2 linked regions of the Lytechinus pictus genome follow. The protein of the gene in region 2 purifies or fractionates together with the protein of the main gene of each other region. This does not show direct contact. Links are inferred from orthologs where the notes say so. Each region holds a gene or a part of one and is shown on either strand. Other genes may lie near its edges. The genes, in order: integrin-linked protein kinase-like and ras suppressor protein 1-like.

Region 1 (16,362 bases), on a different chromosome or scaffold from region 2:
TATGCTGCACTGTAAAAAGTTATACATCATTATTTCCAAATACCATAAAATATCAAATTAGCACTATTCTCTGTCTCTCTCCCATCAAAATGGCAAATAACTTTTTTATCTGAAATGTTTTGAGAAAGTGATTTGACTGGGAGTGTTCCTAAATAAAATGTATGAAAATAGCATTTCTACCATGGTTGATAAACATATTACCCAAGGTGCTTTCGATGCTTGGTGCTGCCTTCTCAATCTGAAAGGTGTTTTCAAGCTTGATAATGTGAGCATGTTGATGAGCTCAGCCATCAATCACACTCTAAATCATATTAAGCTTGCTCATTTTCCTTTCTACGCCTATCATATTTTAGGCTGTTTTATTAGGACTCTGCTAGAAGCCTGTCATACTTTCATTCTTGAAGAGAAGTTTGTCACCTTAGAATCCTGTCTCTCACTATCCTCTGAAAGGGGGTTTTAGTTTATGGAAAGGGAGAGATTTTGTTATTAAAGGTACAAAAAGAAAATAGTATTAGTAATGAATAATCTTACACATATTACTTACTCATAAAGAGCCTGTAAACCAAACTGGTTCAATTTACTTTGAAAAATGCAACATACAATACATACATGTATAGGCCTACAACTGTTCAGTACACATTGTTTAGAGGTACTAAATTTCCCATAATAATAATATGTTCATTGATATAGTGCAGTTACTATACTCAACTGCGCTTGGTATCATATTATATTACCCCGCCTGTAGCTGAGCCGCCATATCGGTGCCAAAGCGTCAAGGTACATGTATAAATCCTACCGGATACCCATTCACCTAACCTGGGTTGAGTACAGCACAATGTGGGTATATTTCTTGCTGAAGAAAAACATGCCATGGCTGGGATTTAAACCCACATCCCTCTGATTGAAAGACAAAAGTCGTAACCACTAGACCATGACAATATCATTGGATTGATTCATTTCAATAAAAAAAATAACAGAGGAAAAAGGAGTCAGGTTATATAATGTATCTTTTGAAACCAATCAGAACCAGAACATACATTACATTAAAACAGGGCATAAGTCGCCAACTTGTGTAAATAACCAGAAATATCGCGATTTACGGTGGCATGCAACAGAATTCTATCAAAAGTTCATTGTGAAATAACTGGGATGAAATAACATTTGTCATAAGAGAGTCTTGCACATAAACTTTAATGCTGACCTCAAAATGACCTTTGACCTTACCATGTGACCTCCAACTGCAGCATAATATGCAGGTCTCCTATACAACTACCATCCAAGTTTGCTTGAAAAGTGACTAATGGTTGCGGAGTTTTGTGTCATATAAAGAGAGTCTTGCACGTAAACTTTAGAGTTGACCTGAAAATGACCCTGACCTTACCATGTGACCTCCAACTGCAGCATAACATGCAGGTCTCCTAAGTACCTCTACAACCCAAGTTTGGTTTAAAAGTAACTTACAGAAAATTACGGAGTTATGTGTGATAAGATTGTCTTGCACCTAAACTTTCAAAAACATTGACCTCAAAATGACCTTTGACCTTACCATGTGACCTCCGACTGCACAATAACATAATAAGTCTCCTAAGTACATCTACAACCCAAGTTTGGGTGAAAATTGACTTATGGTTGCGGAGTTATAGAGCCTTGAGTTTGGTTGAAAAGTGACATATTGTTGCAATGTTATGTGTCATGATGTTTGTGACGGACAAACGACATTTTGATCCCTTAGTCTCGCCTTTACCTCTGGTGAGCGAGACACAAAGAATCAAAGCTACATGACCATGGATCTGTTCTGTACTGTACCGGTAATTAATCTATTGTGCTTCAAGCTTTGAAACAAACTCATACAATAGCTTTTCATTATTTACTTAATGAAACCAACTTCACAGTTCACACATCACAAAAAACATTGTCAAGGAAATGTAAACAACATAAGTCTGAGGGGAATGTGTACAGTCCTCTTCTGAATAACAATTATTTCCATGATGTACCCCCTTTAATGCAGCCTTGTGATGATATGGCTGTTGTATAGTTGGCATACCTTCGCTGCTACATCATCGGCCTGAAAATGATTTGATGTATCTCCCACATGTCAGGATTGTTAACAAGCCAAGCAGCAAGCTACTACCAACTAACAGGGAGGGAAAGATGAAATTTCATGATACAGGATATACGTGCCTACTGTGTTCAATGAACAGAAGCGATCTTAAGATTAAAGAGAAGTCGACATGGTATCAGTAATCATAACATTAAAGGGATGGTCCGGGCTGAACGTATTTATAGCTTAATAAATAGAGTAGAATTGTCTGAGCAAAATGCTGAAAATTTCATCAAAATCTGATAACAAATAACAAAGTTATTTAATTTTAAAGTTTAGCAATATTTTGTGAAAACAGTCGTCATGAATATTCATTAGGTGAGCTGATGATGTCACATCCCCACTTGTTCTTTTGTATTTTATTATATGAAATTAGGTTTATTCAAATTTTTCCTCCAAGAACTAGAAAAATTGGATTGACAACTGATTAAGTGCATTAGATATTTATTGCTGCAACTTATTTCATTATAAGGGGGACATATTATTCACACAAGTATGAAATAATGAAAAAGTTATGATAAGAAAACGGAAAGTGGGGATGTGACATCATCAGCCCACCTAATGAATATTCATGACAACTGTTTTCACAAAATATTGCTAAACTTGAAACTTCAATAACTTTATTATTTGTTATCCGACTTTGATGAAATTTTCGCCATTTTGCTCAGTGAATTTTACTCTATGTATTAAGATATGAATATTTTCAGCCTGGACCATCCCTTTAATAAGAGACCACAATAGGCCTGGTGGGTGTTTCATAAAGCTGTTCGTAAGTTAAGAGCGACTTTAAGAATGACTGGTGATCCTTTCTTGTGGTAAGTGATATTCACCATTAAATGTTCACTGGTGATTATTTAGCGCATACTACGGGATCACCAGTCGTTCTTAACTTACGAACAGCTTTATGAAACGGCCCTCTGGAATACTAAATATATTACACATTTATGTTCCTATACTTTTTGTCTAGGGAATGAATTTATTTTACAAACATTTACAGTAGTACACTGTACTACTACTATATGTGAAAAAAATACATCAACTGTATTCAAATTAATTAGTTTTGTTTGTAAAGCACTTTCTGATAAGAGGTACTATAATTGTAGGTCTGATTCTTTACAAGAATATATGTCTGCCTGATATGTTATCGTATACTCATTTCTTGCTAGTACTTTATAAGTACTTACTTTCACATAAATTATCTGTAGACCTGTCAAATTACATATAATTATCAAACCAATATGGTCTAAACATAAAACTTATTTTTGTCTCACATTGAAGCCCTATGCAATGCTCTAAAAATGTAATGTTTAATTTAGAATATTTTATGTTTGGTCAATAACTGATTCTGTAAATATGTATCACAAACCGCTGTACAGCTTAAAATAGGGTGACAAAAATTGAAGCAGCATTCATGTACATGTACATAAAATACTGTAAATGTAGATTGTATTTATATAATCCATTCAGTTATTTTTCACAATTCAACAGTCTGTATTTTCTTAACAATTACGTGTTTGTATAGCTCTGAAAAACTCTCCATAATGCAAAATCAATGATCCCAATGTACACTTCACTTATCAAATTTACATGTACATGTAGCACTTAATTTTTGTTCTATGCAGGCAAAATTTAAACCATCTTTAATGCTAAGGAAATACTGAATGCATTGTGGGTAGAGATAGGAAATATGAAGTCTAATATGATCTATCCATGAACAAAACAAACATCCTGTATTTTTTGCCACACCTTTGCTGTAATGGGAAAAAGGAATCTTTCAAGTAATCTGTGAAATACAAATCAGCTTACAATTTTTGTTCTCTTAGAATTAAAGGGGAAGTTCACCCTGAAGAAAACTTTGTTGTAAAAATAGCAGAAAAAATAGTAAAAAATATTGGTGAAGATTTGAGGAAAATCCGTTAAAGAGTAAGAAAGTTATTAGAGTTCAAAGTTTTGGATTTGTGACGTCATAGACGAGCAGCTGCCCCATGTGTTACGTAATATAAAATGCATGAATTTCAAATTTTGCATGGTTCCTGATGACTTATTTTTGTTTTTTATTCAAGATCAGGTGTGAAATGATTTGTCTATTGATATACAAAAAGTAAAGTGAAAACCATTTTCAATTTTCTGAGAAAATGACATTTCATTGATTTTTTACCATTCGCTATGTAGGAATGCTGCTCGCATATGACGTCACAAATCAAATAATTGGAATTCTAATAACTTTTTAACTATTTGATGAATTTTTCTCAAACCTTCGGCAATATTTTTAATCATTTTTTCTGCTATTTTTACAATAAACTTTTTGTCAGGGTGGACTTCCCCTTTAAAACAAATATCCAAGATGGCAAACTTCTTTATGACAGAACATGTGTTTTCTCCATGCTTATTTAATGTGGAAAAACTGTCGAGCAATGTCCCCATTTTTAAAACACATAGGCCTGAATTTACAAAGGTGGTTTCATTTAAAACCATGGTTTTAGAAACCGTGGGTTTTAGAAACCATGGTTTTTGCAAAAACCACTTTTGTGAATTTGGGCCATACATTGTACATGTAGAGTACCAAATGTTCTGGTATTTTAGAAGTGAACATGTAATGTGCTACAATGCAGCATTTGAAGAGGACTTGATCAACTTGACAGTCTTTAAACAAATTCTTTGAGATTGATTTTCATGGTAGACACAGAGGTCATACATGTAGCATGAAATTAAAAAAAAAAGCACAGAAGCAATAATGCCTTTCCAAAATGATTGCAATCATGCATCTATATTCTATTGTAATATGAATATGCTCAAATCAGCTATTGAGAGGCACTGGAAAAATCATCCACTAGAATTTTTACCCTACCATTATCATAGACTATCCAACTTAATGAGGGGCAAATAAGCTACATTACATCCAAGTAAGTATATCTGGCATCCAGTCATGAAGAGGGTACAGTTTACTCGCAACAGTGCCCAAGAGAAAATGTACTTTGCAAGGATAAGTTACAAATCTACTCAATATTTTTCTTCTTGTAAAATGTTTAATTGACCTGGCAATACAACGTCTTGTTTGCTTTCAAACATTCATGTTGATCATGTTACACTAGCCTAGGTATAAAGCTCTCTCAAACAAAATGAACTTAACCATGCCTGTTACGTTAGAATGTATCATGGTATCTAATGGTAATTTTAATAGAATCCTTAGACCATAGAGCTATTAACAGCTCCATGTTTATCATTGGCTGTTGAGCCCTTTTCCTAGATGTATGGATGACAAATTTATCATACAGTACATACATGTACAGTACTAAGAATTTTCAAGAACACGGAGCAGGACAAAGAGTAGGTACTACAAAAATCTCAGACAAAGTCAGAGTCTCTGAAGTGTACATGTACGTATATTTTCATGGTATGTACATGTACATGTACATGGGGTCCAGTCAGAGGATGTTACCACTTGTTGCAATCTTTGTAAAATTTAAACTTTTATTACACTAAAATGGAAGACATTCCTTCACTATATCAAGATACCATCATGTAGCATTCTTCATATTTTTTATGCAAACAAGTGAAACACTCTCTAGATCTGCCCTAACTACATGTAGATATCTTAGATTAAAAAATAAGTCTCTGATAAAATAAAACCAATTTAGCCCAATCGTTTTTTTATGATCATGTCTTTAATATAAAGATTGAAAAGAATTTCCCCCTTTTTTTACTATGGCACACTTACTTATAAAAAATAAAGGCCCTCTATTTCTTAAAATACAGTCTTGGGTTTAAATACACAAACCTTTTCTTTCTGAAAAAAAAGTAAGCCCTGAACAAAGGAAAATCATCAATGAAATTCCATTTACAAAGTTATTATGTTCACATCTAGAAGATGAGACACAAAAAAATTTAGAAAAATATTGCATTGATCCATTATTAATGTACCGGTATGTAGGTCAAGAGCAAAATTTGTTGATAGTGCCAGAACTTGTATAACTTTGTAATTGTGATCCAGACAATTTTTATGAAGTTTGGTTGACAAGAATCAATGTAAATCAGTGACATAAAAAATTTACAGGCAATAATATAGACAAAGAAAAATAAAACATTAGCATTTGGCATCTGTAAAGATTATAAATGCAATATTGAAAACTTGAACAGATTTGAGATAGAAATAACAAGAAAACAGTAAAAATAAACAAAACTTTAAGATGATCATCAAGATAACAATTGTGCTGATGGTATTCAGAATTGATGATTACAATATGTTAACAAATGACAAGACAATGGGATATTGTTGATGATGGTACTTGGTAGATAGCTGATGTTGGATCGATAATGGGGACAATGATGCCATTGATGATGAAAGATGTTGATTCATGACATTGACCCTGATTTTAACGCTGACCTGAATTAATTTAACAATTTAACAAAATAGCAGTTCAATTTTTCTGGTTAACTTTTCTACACTAATTGTTCTTACCCTTGGTTTGGATCATTTTCAACCTTGTCCAACCAAACTCTGATGTGCACTGCATTCCCATCACGGATTTGTGAAAAAATATCATCCATTGCTGTATCAGCTCTAATAAAAGTTCCTGTGAGAGTCCTCTTGATGTCGAAGCAAGTCCATCGACTGTTCAAACAAAGTTTGAAATTCCTGTACAATTAGTCACTTGAATATCAATGTATTTATTAATTCAAGTGAATCATAATCCATTCCTATTGATATGCTTCACTGCTTTGCAGAGTGCAGATTATCGATGAGAAGCAGATAATTTGAAAAGAAAGAAGTGAAGAACGTATTATTTTCTCCACAAAGTCATGTTGACAATCCTCATAACATGAGATATGATGATGATCATACCCTGCAAATGAAAAGTTCACTGACTATCAGTATCAACTCAAGTGATGATGGATGAAAATCCAGTGACAATTACTTTAGATTCAGTTTCAATTGCGTTTGGTCCACAAATTTGAAAATCCAGTCCGAAAAGTTAAATGTGATTTCAATCAAGGAATGACAATTATTATTAAGTTTCTGTGTTGAAGTGAGTCTGACTAAGTCAGTGTCATCCAAAAATAATGCAATGTTGATCCTCTCATCAAATCACACAAACTGCTGTAGAGACCCCCGCCAAATTTGACACATCAAGTAGCAGAAAGGTCACGCACTCGAGGTAAAAACGTCTTTGGTGCAGTCAGTCGGCTATATTGCATCGGAGCTCGGAGCGACATTCACGGGCCACTCCTCCACTCATTTCTGAAGAGACTCCGATAATGGATGACCTCACGCCCACGGGGTCAAGATTCCTTGCATTCCTAATTAGGTTGCGGAATGTTTACATACAGAAAGATTGATATTTTTCTTCATTTTTTATGCCGTTATTAATAAAAATTACTTTTTGTTGATTTTAAATTAAAATTTTTAATAATTTTTCATATTTTAAAAATCTTATTAACAATATTATAGTTCTACAACAATATTTTCTAAGAACTAATCAGTGCTTTACAAACTCAACATTTCAAGATGGCAGCCTCCATCGTTTCCACGAATGTGATGAAATTACGTCTATTTCTTTTTAGTTTACGGCAAATAAGTATCGAAAAGAATGAAATTTCACAGTTCATTATTTCGAGAAGAACTCCCACACTTAGATGTTGTCTTAACGTAAGGAACTTCTATGGAAACAGGCAGATTTATCGTTTAATTTCCACTTGGCGTGTCCGGACTGCGGGAGTAGGGGCCACTGCTGCGATTGCCCTCGGGGCAGTAGCGGCGTGTGCTGAGTCCGCCGAAACGGGTGAGTTAAATGAAGGTTGTTCTGCGGCCCCGCCAGCGCCAGGCCATGTGCCCATCCCATCTCTCCCAAACAAAACCGGGCCAGGCCTGGGGATCAGGAGTTTCAAAAGAGGTTCATCTTCATAGGCTTCATGACTCTCTGGCTCTGTCGCCCTTAGTTAGACCAAAAGCTTCGGTCTCTGTTATGTTGGTTGTTCAGCTAAACTCTGTTGTCTTCACTCACCAAATACAGAGACCGAAGTTCTAGCGCGATCTGTACAGGGGACTCAATGGCCATATGTTTATGTGTATTAAGTTCGGATAAAACAGGGCAGTGAAGTTGCGCGACAGCCGAGGTAAGTTACTGTTTTTGTTCCTTTTAACTTGATTTTCCCCGTTTTTTGGCAATTAATGCCAAGAGGGAATATTAATTTGCATTTTGGTCGCATTAATTTTCAAAAGTTTGATTCATATTTAAACTTTAAAGACAAAAATTGAAGAGCCCCGACGGGGGGATTTTGCATTGTAAGTCCCCTAATGGTGGCTGCACGATAGCGAGCCGTCTGTGTATGAGGAGAAATTTAAAAAATAAACAAATGTTTAAAAACTCCTCGAAACAGACGGCTGCCAGCTGTCTATGTCGCCCTGAGCCTGAGGCCTGAAATCTGAATGGGTTTTAATTAATTTAATATTTAAATTTAAGACAGAAAATCAGAAACAATCCTTTTTTGGGGAAAGTTTGATGAAAATCCATCAACAATGAAAAGAATTAGTAAATAACGAACAGATGAAGAACTTAGAAGAGTTATTAATTGTTCTTTTTTTTTCAATTTGTGATATCGTGTGCAATTAGATTCCCCATATTTGTCAATGATGAATACAATTTTTTTTAATTGAAGGGGAATGAAACCTTTGTAATAAATAGGCTTGTGTGGAAACAGAAAAATCAAAGAATAAGAACAAAGAAAGTTTGAGAAAAATCTGACAAATAATGAGAAAGTTATGAGCATTTGAATATTGCAATCACTAATGCTAATTGCTATTGAGATCCTCCTATTGGCAATGCAACAAGCAAGTGTGATGTCACATAACTTTCCCTTTGATGGACTATAAAATACCCCTAAAATTTATCTTTTTGCTTTTTCTTATGGTGATACAAACTCTTTATCCATTATGTATTCTTTAAAAGTCTGTATTACATGCCCTCATATAGAAAGAATATATGCTCTACTGATAGATGTGAAAAAAGAGGCAGTTTAACTGAAATATATACTAAAGTAATGCCTAATGGGGAGAGTAGTTCACAAGTGACATCACAAATCTTTGTCGCATTGCCAATATGAGGATCTCCATAGCATTAGTGATTGCAATATTCAAATGCTCATAACTTTCTCATTATTTTTCGAAAAAATCAATCAAACCTTGAGGGGGTGCTGGCGTGCCGCCCAAAAAACGATTTGGGGCAAAAAGATTGTTGACCCCCAACCCATTTTCGTCAAAATTGTATATCTTGGCTTTTTTTGTGTCAATTTCTTTGTTATTTTGGACAAGGAATTCATTTTTAACAATAAAAAGATGTAAAAATGCTGTCTTTGCCCTAAAATTTAATCCTTACTTAATTTGGAGGGGGTCAAGTTGACCCCCTTTTGACGAATTTGTCACTTCGCAACTGCAAGAAATTTTTTACCTCGTCACTCAGTGACTTTTTACTTTCAAGCCTTGCACATCTTCTGAGACCAAATTTGTGATGCCCAGGTACGTGGTTCCAAAATACATGTAACACAACATTTTGTAAGTGCATGTCAGACCCAAAATTGCCCGAAAACGTGACTCCGTGTACAAAGTCAATGCAGATTGGGTAACACTATTTGCATTGACTCTGTACATAGAATCACGTTTTTGAGCAATCTATCCGATATGTATCATCAATGTAAGTTCTATACAATATAATGTAGAAATAAAACATTCCTAGGTATGAATGAAATTCATAAGAAGGAAGAAGAGAACTTCCGGTGAAAGTTTTCCAAGTAATTATGACGATGGTCAAACATCATACATATGTACTACCGGTCAGTTAGATTTCTTGGGAATATCCCTGAAAGAAAAGCCTTATGCCAATAAAAGGAGAAGAACCAGGATGAATGGGCTAGAATTGTAAACTTTGACCCAGCCAAGACGTCAGACATTTCCCAGAGTCTTGTTTCCCACTCCTTCCGGTGGAAGTGGTAGTAAAATATCTTAACCAATCAAATTCAAGGGACAAAGTGAGTGACTAGGTATTTAATGGCCAATGATATTTAGAGGGCCATATACTTCATAATACTTTCTAAGAATATTAGAGTTCCACAATTGGCATAAAATTATTATAAATAAAGCTAGAATGTGAGTCTAAATCAGAAGCTGCTGATTGTTCAACAGAGATACTACTGGTTAGAGATACTGCACAAAAGTATTAACAAGTTTTCATCTGAATACTGTATTCAGCCCTCGGTGAATACAACAACTTACAAGGTGTTGTTAGGACAATCTGATAGTCCGGATCTTGGGATTCCACATTGACAAACTTGGAATCGTTATAAATCAGTAAACACTAACGAGAAGTTGGTGTTTAGGATTTATGATCTGTAACTGAATCATTGGTCTAAGTCTGTCCAGAGACAGGAGCTGACATCAGACAGATTGTCATCGTCAGGACGCTCAAGTAAAGAAACCAAGAATCAGCGATGAAGAAGAAATAACTAAGCAACATCATTAATCATTGAATTGTATAAAGCTGTTAATATCTATATACTTAGTTTATAACCTGTAATCTTTGTTAGAATAGTTTACTATAATAAAGGTTTTCTAAAACCTAATTATTTTTGTGATTGGTATTCTGTTAACAAGTTTTCAAAAGTATGTCGGTACGTGGAACATACACTGCAGTCAAAAGATCCCAGCCACAAGGTAGGCCCAAATCTACCCTGTGACAATGTATAATTCTGAAAAAATTACAATTTATTCAATTTACATTGCATGGCACATTATGGATCTACTTGAATGTGACATCACAATGGTAATTTCTTCTTTATTACAGTGAAAGCAAGATGGTTCTATGCATCAAGAAAGGATGATGTAGATGAAATATTGAGGTAAGCTCATTTGATTTACTTTGAGTCAAAGAAAAAAAATAATATGTTGTTATGACAATGACATAATTTAAAACCAATAAAACATAGATATGTTTAAGTCATCAATTGTTTTAGGAAGAAGATCTTGTCAAAACGATGACATTTGAAGCCTGAATAAAGTTTTTGTAAATATTAGACAATATGGATTGCATTGTTTTATTGAATCAAAGCCAACAACATTTTAGTGACCTTGTTCCCTTTTTTTCACCATGGATTACTTATAAAAATTGCTTATTCTCACTCATGTTTGTCTCTCCTCTGTCTATCTATCCCCTCTTTTCCTATACTACCTCCCTTTCACTCCCTTCCAACAACTCTCTTTCACAAATACATGTAGATTACTAAGGTCTGGGTTCAATGTGAATGAGAGGCATCAACTTGGATGGACAGCTTTGCATGTAGCAGCTGTCAACAAGAATCAAAAGTAAGACCAAAGACTCATATTCTAAAGGTGTATAGCGACAAAACCTTTTTTTTTTCAGGAAATGACCATCTTATTGTGAAAATTTAGAATGATTGTAGTAGTGTACTTCCTATTCTTTATAGTCACCTAATTTACATTTGATGAATGAGACATGGTTCCCTTTAAAGAGGAAGAAGTTTATTTTGCATCAGAGGTATATCTGCATTGTAGACCTTGTAGTTGTTTTCTTTCCTTGATTTTCTGATTGTCCATATACTTGTAATAAATCAGGAACATTCATTATGCACTGCTTACATTGAGTCCACTGTTAATAAAACATTATACTTCCTTTGAATAGTCAGCTATATCATTGATTGATTCTTGAGAATGTGTTCCTGGTATTCTCTTAGAATATTTCTTTCCACCGTGTCTTATTTCAGAGCACTGAGAGCATTACTTAAAGCAGGAGCGGATCCAAACATCGGGGATGAGTTTAGCAGTGTATGGCAGACATCACAAGAGAAAAGTCTCAACTCATTACAAGGTTAGCTCTTCACATGCAAAGTTTCAAGACGGCTCCCAGAACCAGGCAGCTCCCCCAAAGGACGGTTCCCCCGACACCATTCTCACATGAATATTCCCCTTGAGCATACATGTATGTCTCATGGAGGAGAGCTCTCCATATGAAAAGTCTCTTTATACATTACGGACAAAACAACCCACTCTAACACAACTTAAAAGTCACAGGGAAGTTGCCCTCCTTGGAAAGTTGCTACATGTACATATAATATCCATAGAGCTCAGATATCCCAGGTCCCCATTGCATAAAAGCTACTGTTATGGTAACTATGCCATATAGTAGTAATATTCATAAAATCCTTGGTTGTGATCGGTTGTTCAGCTTTGTTCTATGGTAAAATGTACTTACCATTGGATTGCAAAGTTACCAAAATATTTACTGTTATGAAATCGGCTCTGGTATGTTACTTGATTACTTAAATATAAAATCACTGAGCTTCTTTCAGATTAGCCACAATTCAAGTGCTAAAAATGTAATCAATGCATTTAAGGATTAATTACACAACAGCTGAAATGTTTGGACAAAGTTACTTGAATTAACAGATACATATATGATGGACATGTTCCATGACTTTTGTTTGGTTAACAATTGCTCAAATGGAAATTCTGCTCATTTAGCAAAACTTCATCTTACATCAAACCCGACATTAACCCTATATAAAGACCCACTTTATTTTTTGAACTGAAACCCTACTACAACCAAACCCTTACACTATTGTCCTCTTAGAAATTGATACAGAAGCAACAGAGACAGGAGCAAATTTCAGGTAACCATAGGAAGATACAGCTCAATATCACTTTTCTTATAAAAGTTTAGAGATTATTTTATTTATATATGGAGTTGAAAATAGGACACCAATAATAGATGGAAGATTTATTTGTACTTTGATTGATGATCCCAGCTCTCTTATTCTGTCTATTTTTCTTATTCACTTTGAAATATAATTTGTCTAGATATGTAACTCTATATGAATGCCTGTTATTATTTTTTATTATTATTGTTATATTTTTTATAATATATATATTCTTTATTGTAGTATTATATGACAGAGAAGATGACTTCAGTGACAGACTGAACAACAGAGCTTCATTCCGTGGTTGTACAGCACTTCACTATGCAGTCCTTTCAAATGATATCAATATTGTCAGAATTCTACTTGAAGCAGGTACATGTATTAACATGATTCATTTGATATACATTGTTGAAATTAAGAATAGAAGTGCGGGCAGGACTGTTTGTGTTTGAGAAATAGTGACAGAAAGAGAGATAGGAAGAGAGCATTTTAATGCTAATTCTTGTACATTTATTTTCTTAATATCACATTCTCCATTCACAATATTTGTTATAAACTATGAATTGCTTTATATCAATCTTTTATGTGTAAATTTAATGGAAATTAATAAATCAAAATGCAAAAACATACAACTCTAAGGTTAAAAGAAGAGAAATATTAAGAATACTTTATCAACTTTGTTTGTATTGACACATCAAAATAAATTAACTTTGCAGAACCATACTTCCATGCCCCACTTCTTACTGAAACTTTTTTTTTGTCAGGTGCTGATCCAATGATAGCCAATGAGAATGGTCATACACCAATACAGTATGCCAAGGGGCAAGCAATAAAGCAGCTTCTTGAAGAATATGATAAGAAGGTGAGTACACAAGGTCAAAGTTCATAGTGATAATCACAGACAAAGTAAGAGTCAGGGTATAGTAATATTTTCATCATGATGTAAATAATTAGATTTGAAGCCTATTCTGTTACAATTGGGCAATTCCATGAAGTATGTACGTGCAATTCCCTACATGTGGATCCTTCCTGAAAAAAATTCTCTTGAGTTCTAGTTCATATGAAAAGTTGTGGTGCCCTTAAATTTGTCATGGCTTGGGCAGTGGAGCAAATAAAATGGAGAAAAGTGAGGGTCGGAGGCACAAAAGTTTGTTTTTATAAGGGATTTTCCAGTTGTTAAAATACATCATCATAATTTGTTGGGTTTTTTCCTTGATAATGTATGCAGGAGAAATTCAAAAAGCCTGTTGTTGAATGTTCCAAAAGGAATGTTACAGCATTAACACTACATCAACAAATTAAGAATTTCAATTGAATAGCAAAGAAAACTTAATTTTACTCAAAATGATATTCAGCTGGTAAAGCAATGATCCATTTGAGGCCAATATACTATTTTTTGTCTTTTTATGTTGCATTCATTGAAGCACTTCTTTGAGAGTTTAGAGCTCATTTGAAATTAAAAGTAGTAATATACCATTCAAATTCATGTCATTTCTTACATTCTGTCCTATGATATGAAGTATTTTGTGTTATATTGTATTCTGATAGTTTTCAGATCTGCAAGCAAAGAAGGCAGCAGAGGAGAGACGTCGTTTCCCATTGGAGCAGAGATTAAAAGAATTCATCATAGGACAGGATGGTGCCATAGCAACAGTTGCTGCAGGTAACTTGTTTCTAGAAACTGCAATTACTCAATAAAGATTATATTGTTTTTTCCCACACCATTTTGGATAATAGAATTTTATTACCAATATAGTTCATCTTATTGATGTGATGACATCAGAACTTATTTTTATCTCACAATCTCAATAAAAATAATTACTTTTGTACACTCTCACCTCTCAATCTTCATCAAGCCTTCATTATAGATGGTTCAGTTGCTGATTGCAACAACACCAACAAAAGTCTGAGGATAATTTGCTCCCTTTTAATGTGTGATTCCATTCTCATATTTCATTATATTGCATCTGTATGAATCCATTTACAGTGAATGAGTAATAAAGCTTGCAGCATAATGATATACAGTAAGTTCAACTCAGTAGTAAGTTAAATTTAACACAGATGTTCTTGCAATCACTCTGAAAACTGTAATTATGACATTCTTCAGAAGAATGTATTCCATGCTAATGTGAATAATTGATTTTTATCATGACAGCTATAAGGAGGAAAGAGAATGGTTGGATGGATGAAGACCACCCTTTAGTATTTCTTTTCTTAGGCTCATCTGGAATTGGTAAGAATGAATGAGAATTAACCCTAAATCTCCCGGGGTATTTTTGTCTCGCCTGCATAGCAGAGCGAGACTATAGGCGCCGCTTTTCCGACGGCGGCGGCAGCGGCGTCAACATCAAATCTTAACCTAAGGTTAAGTTTTTGAAATGACATCATAACTTAGAAAGTATATGGACCTAGTTCATGAAACTTCGACATAAGGTTAATCAAGTATTACTGAACATCCTGCCTGAGTTTCAGGTCACATGACGAAGGTCAAAGGTCATTTAGGGTCAATGAACTTAGACCATGTTGGGAGAATTATTTTCAAAATCTTAACCGAAGGTTAAGTTTTTGAAATGACATCATAACTTAGAAAGTATATGGACCTAGTTCATGAAACTTGGGCATAAGGTTAATCAAGTATTAGTGAACATCCTGCTCAAGTTTCAGGTCATGTGATCAAGGTCAAAGGTCATGTAGGGTCAATGAACTTTGGTCAAGTTGGGGGTATTTGTTGAATTACTATCATAACTTTGAAAAGTTATGGATCTAGTTCATGAAACTTGGACATAATGTTAATCAAGTATTAGTGAACATCCTGCCTGAGTTTCAGGTCACATGACCAAGGTCAAAGGTCATTTAGGGTCAATGAACTTTGGCCAAGTTGGGGGTATGAAAATTTATGGATCTAGTTCATGAAACTTGGACATTAGGGTAATCAAGTACCACTGAATATCCTGTGCGAGTTTCAGTTCACATAACCATGGTCAATGGTCATTTAAGGTCAATGAACTTTGGCCGTGTTGGGGGTATTCGTTAAATTACCATCCTAACTCTGAAAGTTTATGGATCTAGTTCATAAAACTTGGACATGGGTGTAGTTGACAAGTCTTAAGTCACCGTTCAAATGTCATTTATGGTCAATGAACGTGGTATTATGTCATTATATGAATGGTGTTTTTGTGAATGATTATTTTATAGTAGATTTCAAAGTTAGCACTGCTGCTATATTAAATCGCTTAATGCAGGCGAGACTGCCAGAGGCGTTCCACTTGTTATTCTTGTCATTCCCGGGTCTCAGCCGCGGATTGCGCAATCACAACGAAAATTTGCATGATGGTAGAGAATGACGTAATCTACGCAGTTGCATTGGTAAATTTCACTGAATTCATACATTTTTATTTTATATGAATTAATTATGCTGATTTATTCATGAAATCATACTTTTTGCTCTGATTCACTAAATAAAGCTCCTAGAATGCTATTTTTTGGTGAAAATATTCTTTATAGCATTCCTAACAATTGTGAATGAAAAAAATTCTGGTACCAAGACCGATTTCTTA
Region 2 (15,820 bases):
CTCGTTCTCTTCCCGTTCACAAAAAAATGCTTAGAATGTCCAGTTTTCAGGTTGGAATATCACAAATTTTTGAGCTCGCGCTTTGCGCTCGCATTATTTTTTATTGGTGAGTTATGTATCTTATTTAAAATGCAGTAATTAACTGCTTCCTTTACTGGTCAGTATATAAAAAGAATTAGCGAGCGCAAAGTTATTTTTTAGTTAGATACACATCTTTTTCATGATTACAAAACCAGCTCAGAATAAAATAATGTCCATGTCTTATTATTTATTTATTCATTTATTATTTATTTATTCATTTATTTCCGTTCAAACAAAAGATATAATCAAAGTAAAGTGTAAATACATGTTCAAAATAGTACATACAGTTCTATAACATTTCATAACAAATATTGAAGATAAAATTATCTGAACGGAGGGACTTGCCAAGAAAAGCAGAGCTTGTAAATAAGGCAAGTCCCTAAACATAGTTCTAATACTAATTAACATAACCTATATACAAGAGACGGGTGGAAAACAAAAATAAAATACATAATCTACAAAATACCAAAATAGAGCGTATAAGCGACAACAAAAAGTGGAAAGTAATTTGAATAATTGGAGTGATAACGATAATGATGATAAAATTTTTAATAGAAATTATAAGAGTGGAAAAGGGAGGCAAAGGAAAGAGAGGGGAGAAAAGGGTGGTGCAAATAAAACTGAAAATAAAAAGAGGAACATGACAGGTGCACAGGTCATAGGACACTGTAGTGACATTATTTAGAATATATATTAGACAAATTTGTTGATAATTAAATGATAGTTGTAAATACGTTTAGTTACAGTTATATATTAGCTTGACTTGTTGGTGTGGAGTATTGACAAATTAGCATCTTTTTAAGTTTGCGCTTGAAAATGTTAATGCTTGGTGATTCTTTAAAATCATTGGGCAGTGAATTCCAATACACTGGTCCAAAAAAGACGAAAGAGTTTTTTGCTAAAAGAGTACGGGTTGGGGGTAGATGATAACAATTACGTTGTCTCGTTGGGTAATCATGTATGGAGGAGTTTTTACAAAACATATTTGAAAAAAATGTGGGGAGATCATTTTTATTTAGTTTATACATAAATTGGGCGAGTTGGAAAAGATATAAATCATTCACTTTAAGAATATTATTTTGGAAAAAAAGGACATATGTGTGTGATCTGAAATGAGTTTGAAAAACATTTTGAAAAAGTCTGCCCCCCCCCCCTTTGGTACACTAGTAGTGGTTCCATGCTGATAGCGCGTAGATCAGAGTCTAGATCTAGAGACTAGACTAGAACTAAGATATTTATTTTAGATCTAGGACTGGTTCTGTATACGGACTAGACATATTAAACCATGGTAAATAAGCTAATATTAGTCCAAACCCAATCAAACGTAAAGTTCGGAATTAAGTTCGAAGTTAACCATGGCATTAGTCGGCTATTCCTATTAGTATTAGGCATTAGACAGGTCCAGATTTGAGGTAAAGTTAATGCGCTAGCCTAAGCTAGCCCTACCCTAGCACATGTCCCCGGGGGGGGGGGCACTCGACCAAAAAAGTGGTGGGGGTGTGCCGCGGGCGAGACAAAAAACGGGGGCCTTGGAGCGGGCTTATTGTAAAAAGGAGGGTCCTCGGAACGGGCTTCGGAACTACAAATGTTTGTGAAAACGGGGGTCCTTGGAACGGGTCGCCTGCGTGCGAGTGCGTATGTATCCCTATGGAACGTGCATGCAGCTGGGCTGCGGCACGACTGCCGGGCGCGCTAGCGCAGAGGCGATGGTCAGACGGCGAGCTGCGGCCGCTTTTCACCAAAATTGCGACCGGAACGGCGTAACGGAAAATATGCGAAGCCCTATATAGCTGGAGCGGATTTTTTTCTTCTTTTTTTCTCGAGAAGAAGAAAATGCTATGCTTTGGAGCGGCTTTCTTTGTTCTTTTTATAAATAAGACAAAAATGCTATGCCTCGGAACGGAAATTTGAGTGTAAAAGTGGGGGTCCCCCCGGGGGTCCCCTCCGCGGCACATACCCACTATGCATTATATACTGAGTGCCCCCCCCCCGGGCACATGTCTTGCCATTAATGGCAGCTAGTTTAATAAGTGTTTAAGAATTGGATGTATATATAGATCTAAGCCTATAAGGCCTATGTAACTATGTAAGGGTACCGGTAATTTGACGATGCTAATTCATTCTGAGCAACGTGAATGCTTACGATCGGCACTGGTCGAGGCCAAGTCCACGCGCATGCGTACTCTCAATCCGAAGACGCAAGTCATGAATATTCATATGTCGGTCCAGAACTCGGTGGGAAAAATAATTTCGCGGACGGGAGGGGGGTATCACTATGCCCTACATGTATTTCTACTAACTGCAACTAATCCCGGGGGATGAGGGGGATACACCCCCCCCCCACACACACACTTTTCGGAGAGGGGGAGGATGGCAATTAATCATCCCCCCCCTGCACGTACACTTTTCAAGGCAGAAACAATCATCAAATGATTAAAAATTAAGATATAAGATAAGATTTTATTAAACTATCGACCCCCGATCGGGATCAGTATGAAATTCTCGACAAAAACATATAAATAATGAATTTGCGTACACATTGAACATGCGTATAAAAATGAACATAAAATTATATATTTTACAATATGTCACAGGGGCCGCGGAACCGGGGGGCTGGGGGGGCTTCAGCCCCCCCCCCCCCCCACACTTTTTTTTCCAAAACCGTGTACAAAAACGTAAAAATGACCATATGATTGTGATTTTTAGCATGGTCAGCCCCCCACTTTTGGCTCAGCTCCCCCCCCCCACTTTGAAAACCGTTCCGTGGCCCCTGTACAGTCATAGGCCCTAAAAATGAACATATTTACAATGATGAATACAAATGTTTGCATAAATTAAGTACCGCATGATGTTGCATGCAATAGCTAGGCTATACACCCGGGGCTATATACAACAACAAACAACAAAACCCACTATAAACTATTATTGTCGTGTTTAGCACAACATTGTAAAACGCACTGGCCCATATTCTGAAGTCGGGTTTAACTTAAACTCGGGTTTATAGTTGTGGTTTTAAGTATGGATATAGCCAAGTGTTACATTCATACCGAGGTTTTTTTTACCTGACTGCTAAGAAAGCACGAATGCCTGTGTGCAAGCTAGCAACCAGGGGACCAACGACTTAAGGTCCTCTCCGAGGGACCTGGTAATGAGGATAAATGCCTTACCAAAGGGCACTATAGCGCACCACTTGGGAATCAGTCGAACCGCTCTACCGACTGAGCTATCGCGCCTCATAAATCACTAACAGTATAGAGATATCAAATTTAAGCTCACTTGGCTTTCAAATCATTCATAATTGTCTAGGAAGTATAAATAGCTTGTCTTCACCATCGATGAATCAGGAAAGAGCACAGTAAACATAAGAAACATACAACTTAATAAAAAAAAATGACACTTTTGGCTTCCCATAACTTTAGCACAGATCGAGTTAGACCATGGCAGTGGCGGATCCATCAGGGGGGCACAGGGGGCGCACGCCCCCCTAATATTTGAGCGGCGCCGAAGTCGCCGCTTAAAAAAATTATACACTGATATAATATTAGCAACAGTAAAGGAAAGACTATCCCCCAGCAAAGACTTAACCCCTTTTTCAACATTATGGCGCCGGTGAAGTGCAAATGAAATATGTGCGCCGCTCGGCAGTACGCCCCCCCCCCCTTTCGCCAAAAGCTGGATCCGCCTATGCATGGTCTAAGTTAAACCTGACTTCAGAATACGGGCCACTGTGTTTAACCATCCTACATGCACTGCTAATAGTTACATTCACTCTGGTAACTGTATAATAGCCTTTATCAATTACTATATTGTAATGAATTTTACAAGTTTTTTTTTTAATATGGCACCTTTTACAATCTACCCATTTGGCAATATTTGGTAAGCACACATCAGGGTCCTATAGAATATTCTTTGGTTATGTATACATGTACATCTATCTTTCTTTACTAAAGAAAGAACACACAAAATGGAACGCATCTCCAACTTCCTTCAGAGAGCATATAATCATTCACTGATTCTAGAATCGGTTATTGATGGGTACACCTTTTAGACCTGCATCTGAATGACACAATGTGGTTGCATCAGTGTCACTTAAAATTAGGAAATATTACTCAAAACCCCATTTTCCCCCGTCATCTTTTGAACAACTTAAATATACGATTTGACCATCAGTTGGTACATGTTAATAGAGGCCCATGCACCCTGACGTGTTAAAATTACACCCTAGAGATTGAACATAACACCAAAGAGTGTAAATGTAACCAGCAAAGGTGTATTAATAACACCTATAGACACTGTAGACACTGTCAATTTAACACTGGTTTAAAAATTATTGTGGTCCTCTATATGTACACCGGTTAAAACCAGTTTTTGCTGTGGACATAATTTTTTTAACGCAACTTCGAGAGTTTTAGGAACCAATCAGTCCCAATTCTCTTCCCGGATCACTTGTGATAAAAATATTAACCAGAATTACACCTGCTTTCTGAAGTATTCAGTGCAACTCATCCATTTTTACGTGAACTGCATATTATAGTTGTTAATGTGTGGATTCATTTATAAAAGCGGTATAATCCCCATGCATGATTAGCTAAATTGCAAGTGTTGTTAGCTAAATTGAAAGTCCCCTCCTACGGTCCTGCATCATGAGAGTATATCAAGAAAGTTACTTTCAGGGGCGACGATCCTGGGGGCGGCCCCCAAACTTTTTGAAGCACTGAAAATGTGCCCTTTTCACGCAAGAAAAATACCCCCTCACGATCGTGTACTGTGCCCTTTTTATCGGAAGAGGACCCGTTTGGGTGTTACCAAGTGCCATTTCGTATAAGTGCCATTTTCCCCAAAAAAATGCCCCCTCACAAACTTGTTCTGTGCCACCTTCATCTGAGAAGGACCTGTTTTATGTTTGAGCAAATTCTCCCTTCTTGTAAGTGCCCTTATCGTATCAGTGCCCCTTTTTACCCAAGACTAAAATTGCGCCCCTCGGGAACATGTCCTGTGCCCCTTTAACCTGAGGAGGACCCGTTTTATGCCGTTAGCAAGTGCCGGCCCCTTTTCCTTCTTATTATATAGGTGCCCTTTCTCATATCAGTGCCCCTTTTTACCTAAGAAAAGTGCCCCCACGAACATGTTCTGTGCCCCTTTCACATGAGAAGGACCTTTTATATGTGTTAACGAGTGCCCCTTTGCCTTCTCATAGGTGTCTGTTCTTCACTCAGATATAGATAATTTCCGTGCCCGATGAGCGCCCGTTTTCTTATGGTGCCGTTCTGCTTCCTTCTGCAAGTGCATAATGAATGAAAAAACTTGTAGAATTAATCCTACGTGCCTTAAAGGGATGCTCCGGGATGAAGATGTTTATAGAGTAAAATTCTTAAAGCAAAGTGCTGAAAATTTGATCCATAACAAATAATTTGCATTATTCCGGTGAAACAGTTTTAAGCATGTCTTCATGAATATTCATTAGGTGGGCTGATGATGTCACATCCCCACTTGTTCTTTTGTATTTTATCATATGAAATTAGGTTAATTCAAAATTTCTCTACCAAGAACTAAAACAATTATTGGATTGACATCTGATTAAGTGCATTAGTTACCCGGGGAAGGGGGGGGGGGGGCAGTCAAATGTATTGCTGTATACACACGCATGGCCAAATTATTTCCAAACACACCCTAAACGAGTTTTTCTCTGTGTGCAAAATAATCCCCTAAAAAAGTTTTTCGTTTCACGCGTGCATGTCATGTGTACAGCAATATATTTCATTGCCCCCCCCCCCGGATTAGTTATTTCTTGCTGCACCTTTTTCGTGTTATTTCGTAATAATGGAGGCACGTCATTTACACATGTTATGAAAAATTAAACAATTATGATTTCATGTAATACCATAAGAAAAAAGAAAGTGGGGATGTGACATCATCAGCCCATCTAATGAATATTCATGAAGACATGCCTAGAACTGTTTCATATCGGAATAATGCAAATATTTAAAATTCATTGATTTTTTGCTATTGATTTTTTCCACTGAAAGTTTATGCTTGCTGCCCTTCCCCCCCAGCGAAAAATTTCTGCATACGGCCATGTTAAAGATAGTACCCTTTTCGAAAGAAAAGGTGCCCTTTTCCCCTGTGCCCCCCCCCCCCCGCTTTCAACTTCACTCCGCTGCCCCTGGTTAGTTTAATGACTCGCAAAAAGGTCAGAATTATTTACAGAATGATAAATTGTGTACCTCAATTTATGCTAATAATGTTTTATAATGATTTTCTCCAGATTTTGAGCTAAAATAATATGGACCTCATGGAAGAACAGTATTTGTCATAATTATGTTGACAAAACTGAATATGGGCTAGGCCTATCCATCGATCCGTTTGTAAACGGAAAATAAATACTCTACCTCATACCGGCTATAGATTATTTGTCATTCTCAGAAGATTTTTATTAGGGCAATCAACTTGAGCAAATTCGATCAGAACAACTTCCAATCCTGTTCATTTTATCTTATAAACCTCAACAGTCCTTAAAATATCACATTTTCAGTTCAGTGGGCTCTTACACTTTTGTATACGTTACTTCATATACGAGCAGCTGTTATATATGTCGTGTAATATAAAATGAATAATTTCTTTTTTAAAATGTTTGATGATGACTATATTTTTTTTTCTTTAAGGAGCGAATAAATAATTTGTCCATCTGTTGATATACTGAAGGTACAATAAAATCATTTCAATTTGTTTGTTTTTTCTTATGGGGAAGCTGCTCGCGCATCACAATTCAAAAAATTAAATTCTAATAACTTTTTAAATATTTGATGGATTTTCCTCAAACCTTCACCAATTAATATCTTTTTATTATTTTTCTGCTATTTTTACATAAACCTTTTGCCAGGCTATATTCGGTGGTTGGGGCACTGAAAGTTATAAGCCTATATACGACCAAGAAAAAATAAGAAAAATAAGAAACAGAAAGAAAATGAAATAAAAAATTGAAATGATTATGATACCATTTCAGGATCTATGAAAAAAAATGCAAAGACATCACGCACTCATTATATCCCGGTTTATTTATCTATTCAATTATTTAATTTACACAGCCGGGTAGTCTCTTCAGTATATTTATATTCAAAATCAGCTTTGACTTAACATTTTAAGCTCTTCAATTCAAGGAGCTTGTCGATTGGGAAATAAAATGGATGTACAGTACACCACCACGATTCCCGCCCCACCCCCACCCCCATATGCTGAACTTAACCCCGCCCCAATTCCCTACACTGCAAGAATTCACTTCCGGTTTGACAGCTACACCCTTCTACTCACACCAGACTTGAGCCAAATATTACTCTTTTTATAATTATCACTGGAAATTAATCCTCGAAAATGTCTAAATCTGTCAAAAAACAGGTTGATGATGCAAGAGAAAACAGGCACCAGGATCTCGATTTGTCGGATAAGAGCATTTCAAAACTGCAGGACATTCCAGGACTGTGTAAGTATTTTTCTCCGGTCCCATTCATTAATATTGGTGTAGGCCTAGGCATAACACGGTCTTACATGATGTAATTTGGAAATGCTTCTGATGAGTGAAAACAAATAATACAAATCAATTTTTAAACTGTGATGAAATGGCATTTTGTGGGATTTATATCATAATAACATGGTAGATCTGCTCGCATATCTGTAACATAAAAAAATAAACTAGAATTAAAAAACTTCACTTCTTTTGACAGTTTCTTTTAAGTTTGGCTTTGGCTTTGCTGAGTCATGAGATGAGTGATACATATGTATGTTCTGCTTGTATTTTGCTGCTGCGAATACAATTTTAACATGATGTGAGTGTACAGTAATAATGCCCTCTGCATCTAGCCTAGCTCCAGATGAAGTCAAACCAAAATGTACAAATTTATTTACATTTGTCTAAGTCCTAAAACTTTCATGTTCACTGTCGAAAAAAATGTGTAAATTTTCCAACTAGTAAAAATAAGGAAGTTCACCCGAAAAATCCTGAATACTAAAAATATTGTGGTAATGAATTTCAGAATTTAGTCACTGTAGAGTTTTATTGGCATTCCTTAAGAGGGGTTAGATGTCAAATGTGTGTTAATGAATGATCTTTATCTTCAATATTTTCTTTCAGTTTCGCTCAGTAATCTTGTGAGGCTGACTTTGAGCCACAATAAGATTGATGGTAAGTTCTATAATTTTTTAATTGCTCCTCTCTTTCTCTCAATTTCGAGATCTGTCACTTTCTTTACCTATTTTTCTCTGTCTCTCTAAATGGGCTGTCCCACAAGGTTATATCATGTCCCACAAGGTTATATCATAACCTTGTTCATAGAATGAGTGGTCACACCCTAAGATTTAGCAAGCATACGTTAGTGTATGTATGGCAAGCTGTTTTAATGTTTGAAGTTTTAATCCTATTCCATTTCTTGATATATATTGAAGTAATACTATTATTGATATCGAGAATAAATTTCTGGTATATATTTTTGTAATGTTAACAAATGGCAATTCATCTTATCAAGAGTGAAATTATTTATATCAAGCAATAGCTAATTTGAAAAAAGCTTGTTATAGATTACTGTACATTGATGTGTACTTCCTTTGCATATGATTATTAAATCTTAAACCACCCTTTTCTTGAGGAACTTATTCTAGAGTAAGAGTATATTGCGGAAAAGGAAGAGCAGATCAGTTACAAAAAAGTGTACTACCGATTTCCTGTGACTTTATAGTTTTCAGGGGAAGTGGTTTTTGTAAGCTTAGAAAACATTCTACTTTTCTTCCCCTTCAGTTTGCTGCCTTCCAATTCCATTTCTAATAAGCATTTGATTTAGAATAGGCCTTGTTATTCATGCAAGCCAAAGGTCGGCTATATTATGTTTGAAGTTTGAAAAATACTTCTGTCTGGTTTGGTCTGGTCATTCCTATCTCCTGTTTTGTAAATTGAACATGCAATGTTAAAAGAGGGAAATTTGTAGATGGTGATCTATTTATCTCTGTGTAGATACCTCAACATTACAGTGCATGTAACAAATACTAGTAATAATCTGCCAATTTTCAAGGGTTGGTTCAAAGCTGATTGAATCAGACTTTAAATTTACTTGAATATGAAAGAGCAACTCTTCTACTTTAAACTGATATTAAAATTTACTTGTAAGAATTCAAACCTTTTGCAAGACTTTGCAAGTAAGAAAAAGATGAAGCTTTGACTGATACCTCAATGATAAAGTACTCTACTTTTGAATTGTGGTTATTTTAACCCTAAAAGGACTGGGGGCCATGATGCCCCCCCCTCAACGCTTTACGCAACATTTCCAAAACGCAAAAAGATAGCGCCGCAAAATTTTATGACTTTTTTCTTTAAAGTCTTGCGCAACTTTTGAGACCAAATTCGCCACATACAGGTATAGCATCGTGGCGTCACGTGACTTTTTACGAGACAATGTCATGCCGAAAATGACTCATTTTTATACTTTGTGTACAAAGTCTATGGGAGATGAAATTCATAAAAGGGTGATTATTTTTCGTTCTAATTTGGTCTGCTTAACCCTTTAGCACCTGAACCGCCCGAGACCGCCCTTCCTATTACACACTGAACCGCCCTTAACCGCCCGTACGTTTTCTTTGCGCTATAGTATCTCTTACCGTGGTAATATTGCGTGTGCATACCGTATAGGTTGGCTGCTACATAGATCTGCATAGAAAAGTGTATGCTTCTATTGAGTATAATAGAGAAAAACCGATTGACATGCATCGGTGTGTAGCAAGTTCCAGACTTGCGCAGTCGATCTCAGCAAAGATGGCTGCGTCTATGTCTCGGAAAACCACTTACTTCGCCGAAGAAGCTCGGGTGTTGCTATATGTTCATCAAAACGTTGAATATCACACAGAGTGACATCTAGATGTGAGTTGGAATTAATTTTTGACATATTTGATCCAAGGTTTGGCGAAAACTTTAGTATTCTGTCAGTGATACTTTACATTTTTTTTAAGGCGTGGGACTGGGGCGGCTGAAACCCGAACTTTTGTTTTTTTTCTTCTCGCTCTGCAAATGATTGTCAAAGGTCAATATTCATACATCTGATTGAACTTTGCCATGTACCATTCTATTCAACAGGTCCTATGCTACAAAATAAATATAACTTGTAATGAACAAAAGTAAATTTATAAAAAACTATTTCAATTTGTTTGGAACAATGCCTACTTATTACCAGTTTTATTGTTTCCTCCAGTGAGTAATTGCCATTATGCATAGGAATCTGTAGGTGCTATAGGGTTAATTAATTTAGTTGTTAAATGGTCTGTAATAATTTCCATTAAAAAAACAATGAAAAACAAAAGATGAAAAAACAAAGAAATACATGAATTCTAAAAACAAAGAAATACATTATAAGGAAAAATTGGCTTTCGCAACTTTTCTCTGTGGAAACCTTTAAATAATTATTTTCAGAATTTTTTTATACTAGCTTGTAGTTTAAGTGGTAAAGAATGTTCTTGCCAAATTTCGGCGCGATCGCGCGAACGACAGCCGGGATCAAAAGGGGGGCCATCATGCCCCCCCCCCCCCCCGTCCTCAATACATCTCAAATAGCCCAGTCCTTTTGGGGTTAAGTAGCTCTATATGCTACAAGTGTTATTTATTTGATGCAAGCCTAACGTCAGTGTAGAATTCTTTCTCCAGCACCCAACTATTAATTATAGTCACCATTTACTTTGCACAAATATAACAGTATATATCTATATAAAATCTTGAAGTTGTGAAATATAATTAATATGCGTGTATATTTATTTTGTATCTAGTTGTTCCACCACATATAGTAGAGCTGACAAATCTGGAATCCCTCAATCTATTCAACAACCACATAGAGGAGCTACCTACAAATATAAGCTCGATGCAAAATCTCAAAATCTTAAATGTTGGGTAAGTCTCTTAAATTGTAACTTATATTTCTTATTGGCTGTTGCAAGAAACTTATATTCAATTGCAAATCAGGCATAAGTCCCTTAATCAAGAGTAAGATCATTTTGTAAGAAAGTTTAGTTGCAATTGAAGTATTTAATGCAAAATCAACAACAAATTTTCTTTTAGATTATAGGAATTGAACTTGATTTTTGGACTTACACTTAATTTCGAATTGAACATAAGTTTCTTGCAGAGCCCCATAAGATTTAGTTTTCGTCATGTTGACAAACTTTACAAATTTATACAGTCATTGAAACCTTTTCCCCCATTAAGGTAGTCTAGATCTGGACATTAGGAGTTATTTGTTAGGACTCACTCACCTTTCACCAATACATTAGTCCTCTCTCTTTTCACCTTCTAGTAGGAGAAGGTGAGAAGAGAGAAGACTGATGTATTGGTGCAGGTGAGTGAGTCTTAACAAATAATGTCCATATGTAGACTACCATTAAGGTGGCATTGTCATTTCAATTTAATTTCAATTTGTATGAATTACTTTCTCAATTTTATATCATCTATTTTGCCACATAAGATCAAAGTACAAGGATTTTAAGCTAAAATAAATTACAATGTTTTTACCGGCTTTCAGTATGCCCAAGTCGGGGGTTCAAAGACAATGGCATCATGATCTGTCCGAAGCAATCACATTCTGGTGACATTTTTCCCATTCAAGTACATGTACATTTCATGCTGACAAAAGATCTTAATAAGTAAAACTTTAGGGATTCTTTTTTTTACTTTAGCTTTCTCACAATGGCTTGCTAAGTTTATTTGGATGGCCGACCTTGGGAGATCAAACTAAATTAACATGAATAAAATGTTATTGAGACAACATTGGCAGAGACATTCACAATAAATCTATTGACAAAATGGAGAATATCCATCCAAAATAGATCCATGGCAGTTGACACATGTATGATTCCTTCTGTGCGAGCATGTCATGGTATAAATCTCATCTTTTAATCAGAGGGTCGTGGGTTTGAATCCCAGCCATGGCGTGTTATCCTTCAGCATGGAGTATACCCATATTGTGCTGCACTCAACCCAGGTGAGGTGAATGGGTACCTGGCACAGTGTTATCCTTGAATGCACTTAGCAGTGGAATGGCAGCTCCAGCTAAAGTCGGGGTAATAGTGTACCTGGGATTAGATAATAGATGCACGTAGCTGGTGGTATAGAAATGCCTATTATTATTGTTATTATTATTTATTGATTTCAGCATGAACAGATTGTACAGCTTACCTAGAGGCTTTGGATCATTTCCCAAACTAGAAATACTGGATCTCACATACAACAACCTCAATGAGAATAGCTTGCCTGGAAATTTCTTCTTATTGGGTAAGTTATACAATTTATATACCTCCTTTCTGTTTCTCTTTTATTTTCCTTCCTTTTATTCTAATTGTTCTAATTCTTCCATTTATATTTCAAGCATTCTTTCCATTATTCTTCCTAAACATATAGGGAAGAGTGAGAGGCACATTTCCAAAACTAAATGTAACGGAGAAGAAAAGTGAAGGAAAAAAATAAGAAGACAAGCTGAATGAGCTAGAAAGCAATTCAAATTGGATAAATTAGTAATATCCCAGATACGGAAAAGTTTTGCTTCTTTCTCATGTGTTTCAACATACATGATGAATTTTTCCCCTCAGAATGTTCATTTACAGGAGTTTAATTCCTTTTATGTATTGCCTATGTGCACATACCGGTATTCATATTTTGTCTTTGATGTAAGTTTACTGGCTCTGTCTGAAATGACACTTGCAAGAAAATAAGAACAATTTTCATACACAACTACCCTGGGAGTAACCACATGACAACTTTTGATATCCACTAAATAACAATTGCCAATTTAGTAAATTCACAAGGAAAGGGATTCCACTTTTCAAACCATAATTTATCTAAAATTCCTGCCGTCACTCTTGGTGAGTGTTTCATAAAGCTGTTTGTAAGTAATGAATGACTTTACACAAATTGGTGACTATTTAGCTGAATTTGCACCTAAGAACTTGTTGCAGTCGTGCGTAAAGTTAAGTGTAACTTTACAGCTTTATGATTTTTTTCCTTTTATTTCATACCAATAAACTCATTATTCTGGTTTGATTTGCATTTTATTATTCAACATTGTATGAATATATCTTTCTATAATAGACACACTGCGAGCACTGTATCTCAGCGACAATGACTTTGAAGTGCTTCCTGAAGAAATTGAACAGCTGAGCAAATTAGAAGTGGTGAGTAACAAACTAATACTTTAAAAAAGATATATTTCACCTCATTATTTATTTACTTTAAAAATATGTATTTGAAGTACAATCAATTCTAGTAAATCATTAACAAAATGTTAAAGAAGAAAAAAAATAAAAACTTGTCAGATGAGCTTGAAAAATGTCATGAAATGTTTCGTATTATTGAAAGGAAGTATCTGTCTGAGTGTCTAGACTTTTTTGGGGGGGAGGCTGGGGGTAATCATCATGGTGCATCTCAAGGATATATTATATTTAGAGAGATGGCACATTTTAAATACCTAGTAGTGGTGGTGTGATCAGGTGGGTGTTTCATAAAGCTGTTTGTAAGTTAAGAGCGACTTTAAGAAAGACTGGTGATCCTTTCTTGTGTTAAATGGTATATTCATTGGCGATGGTTTAGCCCGTAAGAAAGGATCACCAGTCATTCTTAAAGTCGCTCTTAACTTACAAACGGCTTTATGAAACGGCCCCCAGAAGCAACAAAATAAAGACAGTTCAGTTAGGCAGTAATGTCAAATAGAGGTCCTCATCTTTGGAGTACTATTCCAAACCACCTTAAGAATCAACTTTCTGTTAATAGCTTTAAACGTTCCTTTCGATTATTTTTATTAAACTTGCACTCAGTAACTTAATATTATACATGTATGTTCACCACCACGACTTTGACTTTTTCGTTTTTGTCCCCCCCCCCCCCTCTTACTATCACATATTTATTTTAGGGTCAACGCTCAACAAGTCAAATTGCTCTTTTTTGTTGACCCCTCATTCAACATAAATTGTTTTCTTTGTTTTTCTCTTATGTTAAGTTATTATCTTAAATGCTATATTCTATAACCATGTAAATATGTTCATCATTTTTTTACTTGTATCTTGTATATGTGTTTTTATGAAGAATGAAATAAGATAAATTAAATTCAATTCAATTGAAATAAATTATAAAGCACTCCTGATTCATTATGCCTCCTCCCACCTTTGATGGTTGGTGGGGATGTAATTTATTGGGTCTTTCATTCGTCCACCTGTCTCACAATGACTAATGAGCCATTGGACTGATCAATACCAAACTTGGCTCATGTGTGAGTGAGGATGATATGGGATATCAAACTTAACATTATAAATTACCAAACCTTCAAAATAAACTTTTTTTAGAGAGAGAATAACAAGCATTAGGTTGATTGTTCAGTTCAGTAGACAGTATACAATCCCTTAGCTTTATATTACATGAAGGTATGTCTCTTAATCATGTCACATGTCTTTTGCATTTTAGCTTTGTGTAAGAGACAATGACCTGATCTCCCTCCCTAAAGCCATTGGAAATCTGCCGAAATTGAGAGAGCTTCATATTCAAAGCAACAGAATCACAGTTCTGCCCCATGAACTGGGTAAGTCACTCATATAGCTTACATTGGCCAGATCTGGGGGTGTTTCATGAAAGTTGTCAGCACTGACTAAATTGTCAGTGCTGACTATTTCAGTGAAATCCTTGGTTTTTATTGGCTGAGAAGCTCTGGCCACTGACTGTTACTATGGTAACTGTCAGAGAAAGACATCTTGTCAGTGCAGGGTTGTTTGATTTCAATCATGTCAATTTAAATCATGATTTAAATCACGATTTAAATCACTTGATTTTTTTCAAAAAAATCACTGATTTAAATCAACTTTTATAAAAAAAATTAGTTTTCTCTATTTTCTCTTCTTCTTAACAGATACTTTCAATGTAATCATTTTCATTTCTGTTCCACATGCTTTAGAGATACTTTAAAAGAATGATACACCCTCATGGAGTCTGATTTAACACCACTGTTTTATTTTCAAATTGTAAAACAAGCAAAACTGATGAAAACAACAAGTTTCTAACGAAGTAATGATAAATAACTCTCTGTATGACACCAAACTGTTAAATCTTCAATAAAATAATATATAAAATCTACAAAGGTGCTCAAAGTCCACAACTTGGATACTTTTACAAAACAGCTGAACTACTTGTATGTACCTCCTTCTTGTTACTATTAATACCCATTCTTTCAATTACTTAAGTTGAAGGCATATGTGTACATTTGATAAGAATTACATGTATATTTGCGTGCCTTTAATAATGTCAATTTTGTTGGAAATTCTCAAAAATTCACAAAATCTCATCTCTCAGCTACAAAGAATACAGAACACTGCTGCTAGAATTGTCAATAAAGTCCCTCGAAAACAGGATATATCCAAATCACTCAAGCAACTGCACTGGCTACCAGTAGAGAAGTGTATTATCTTCAAAATCCTCGTCATAACATTCAAGAGCATCCAAGGAAAGTCCCCCTCATACATCGCGAGCATGATCAACACCTACCAACCCTCCCGATCACTTCGGTCATCCAACAAGAACCTTTTAGTTGTTCCCAGTGCAACCTCCCACACCCATGGCGACAGAGCCTTTTCAATTGTGGCTCCTACACTCTGGAACTCACTTCCTTTTAGCTTAAGATCCCATTCTTCTCTAAGTTCCTTTAAAGTAGCACTTAAGACATATCTCTTCCGTAAATAGTAT

What was found.
Region 1: the proteins of ras suppressor protein 1-like (region 2) and integrin-linked protein kinase-like purify together in Homo sapiens (affinity purification with mass spectrometry; 9 studies listed by BioGRID and IntAct, counting the BioPlex papers as one, with this or other methods). This does not show direct contact. The link is inferred for Lytechinus pictus from reciprocal best matches to the Homo sapiens genes RSU1 and ILK.

Annotation. Positions count from the first base shown.
Region 1 is NW_026974140.1:15,260,455-15,276,816, forward strand, and holds the start of integrin-linked protein kinase-like, read right to left. Parts: upstream 7,378-16,362; 5' UTR 6,650-7,377; coding exon 6,561-6,649; intron 1-6,560. Other genes in the region: mitochondrial disaggregase-like, read left to right, coding at 7,608-7,881, 10,936-10,990, 11,367-11,453, 11,873-11,976, 13,049-13,177, 13,570-13,667, 14,354-14,468, 14,961-15,038. UniProt on the Homo sapiens protein: Scaffold protein which mediates protein-protein interactions during a range of cellular events including focal adhesion assembly, cell adhesion and cell migration.
Region 2 is NC_087247.1:32,133,529-32,149,348, reverse strand, and holds the start of ras suppressor protein 1-like, read left to right. Parts: upstream 1-7,338; 5' UTR 7,339-7,449; coding exon 7,450-7,558; intron 7,559-8,206; coding exon 8,207-8,257; intron 8,258-10,875; coding exon 10,876-10,996; intron 10,997-12,254; coding exon 12,255-12,373; intron 12,374-13,186; coding exon 13,187-13,269; intron 13,270-14,551; coding exon 14,552-14,666; intron 14,667-15,820. UniProt on the Homo sapiens protein: Potentially plays a role in the Ras signal transduction pathway. Capable of suppressing v-Ras transformation in vitro.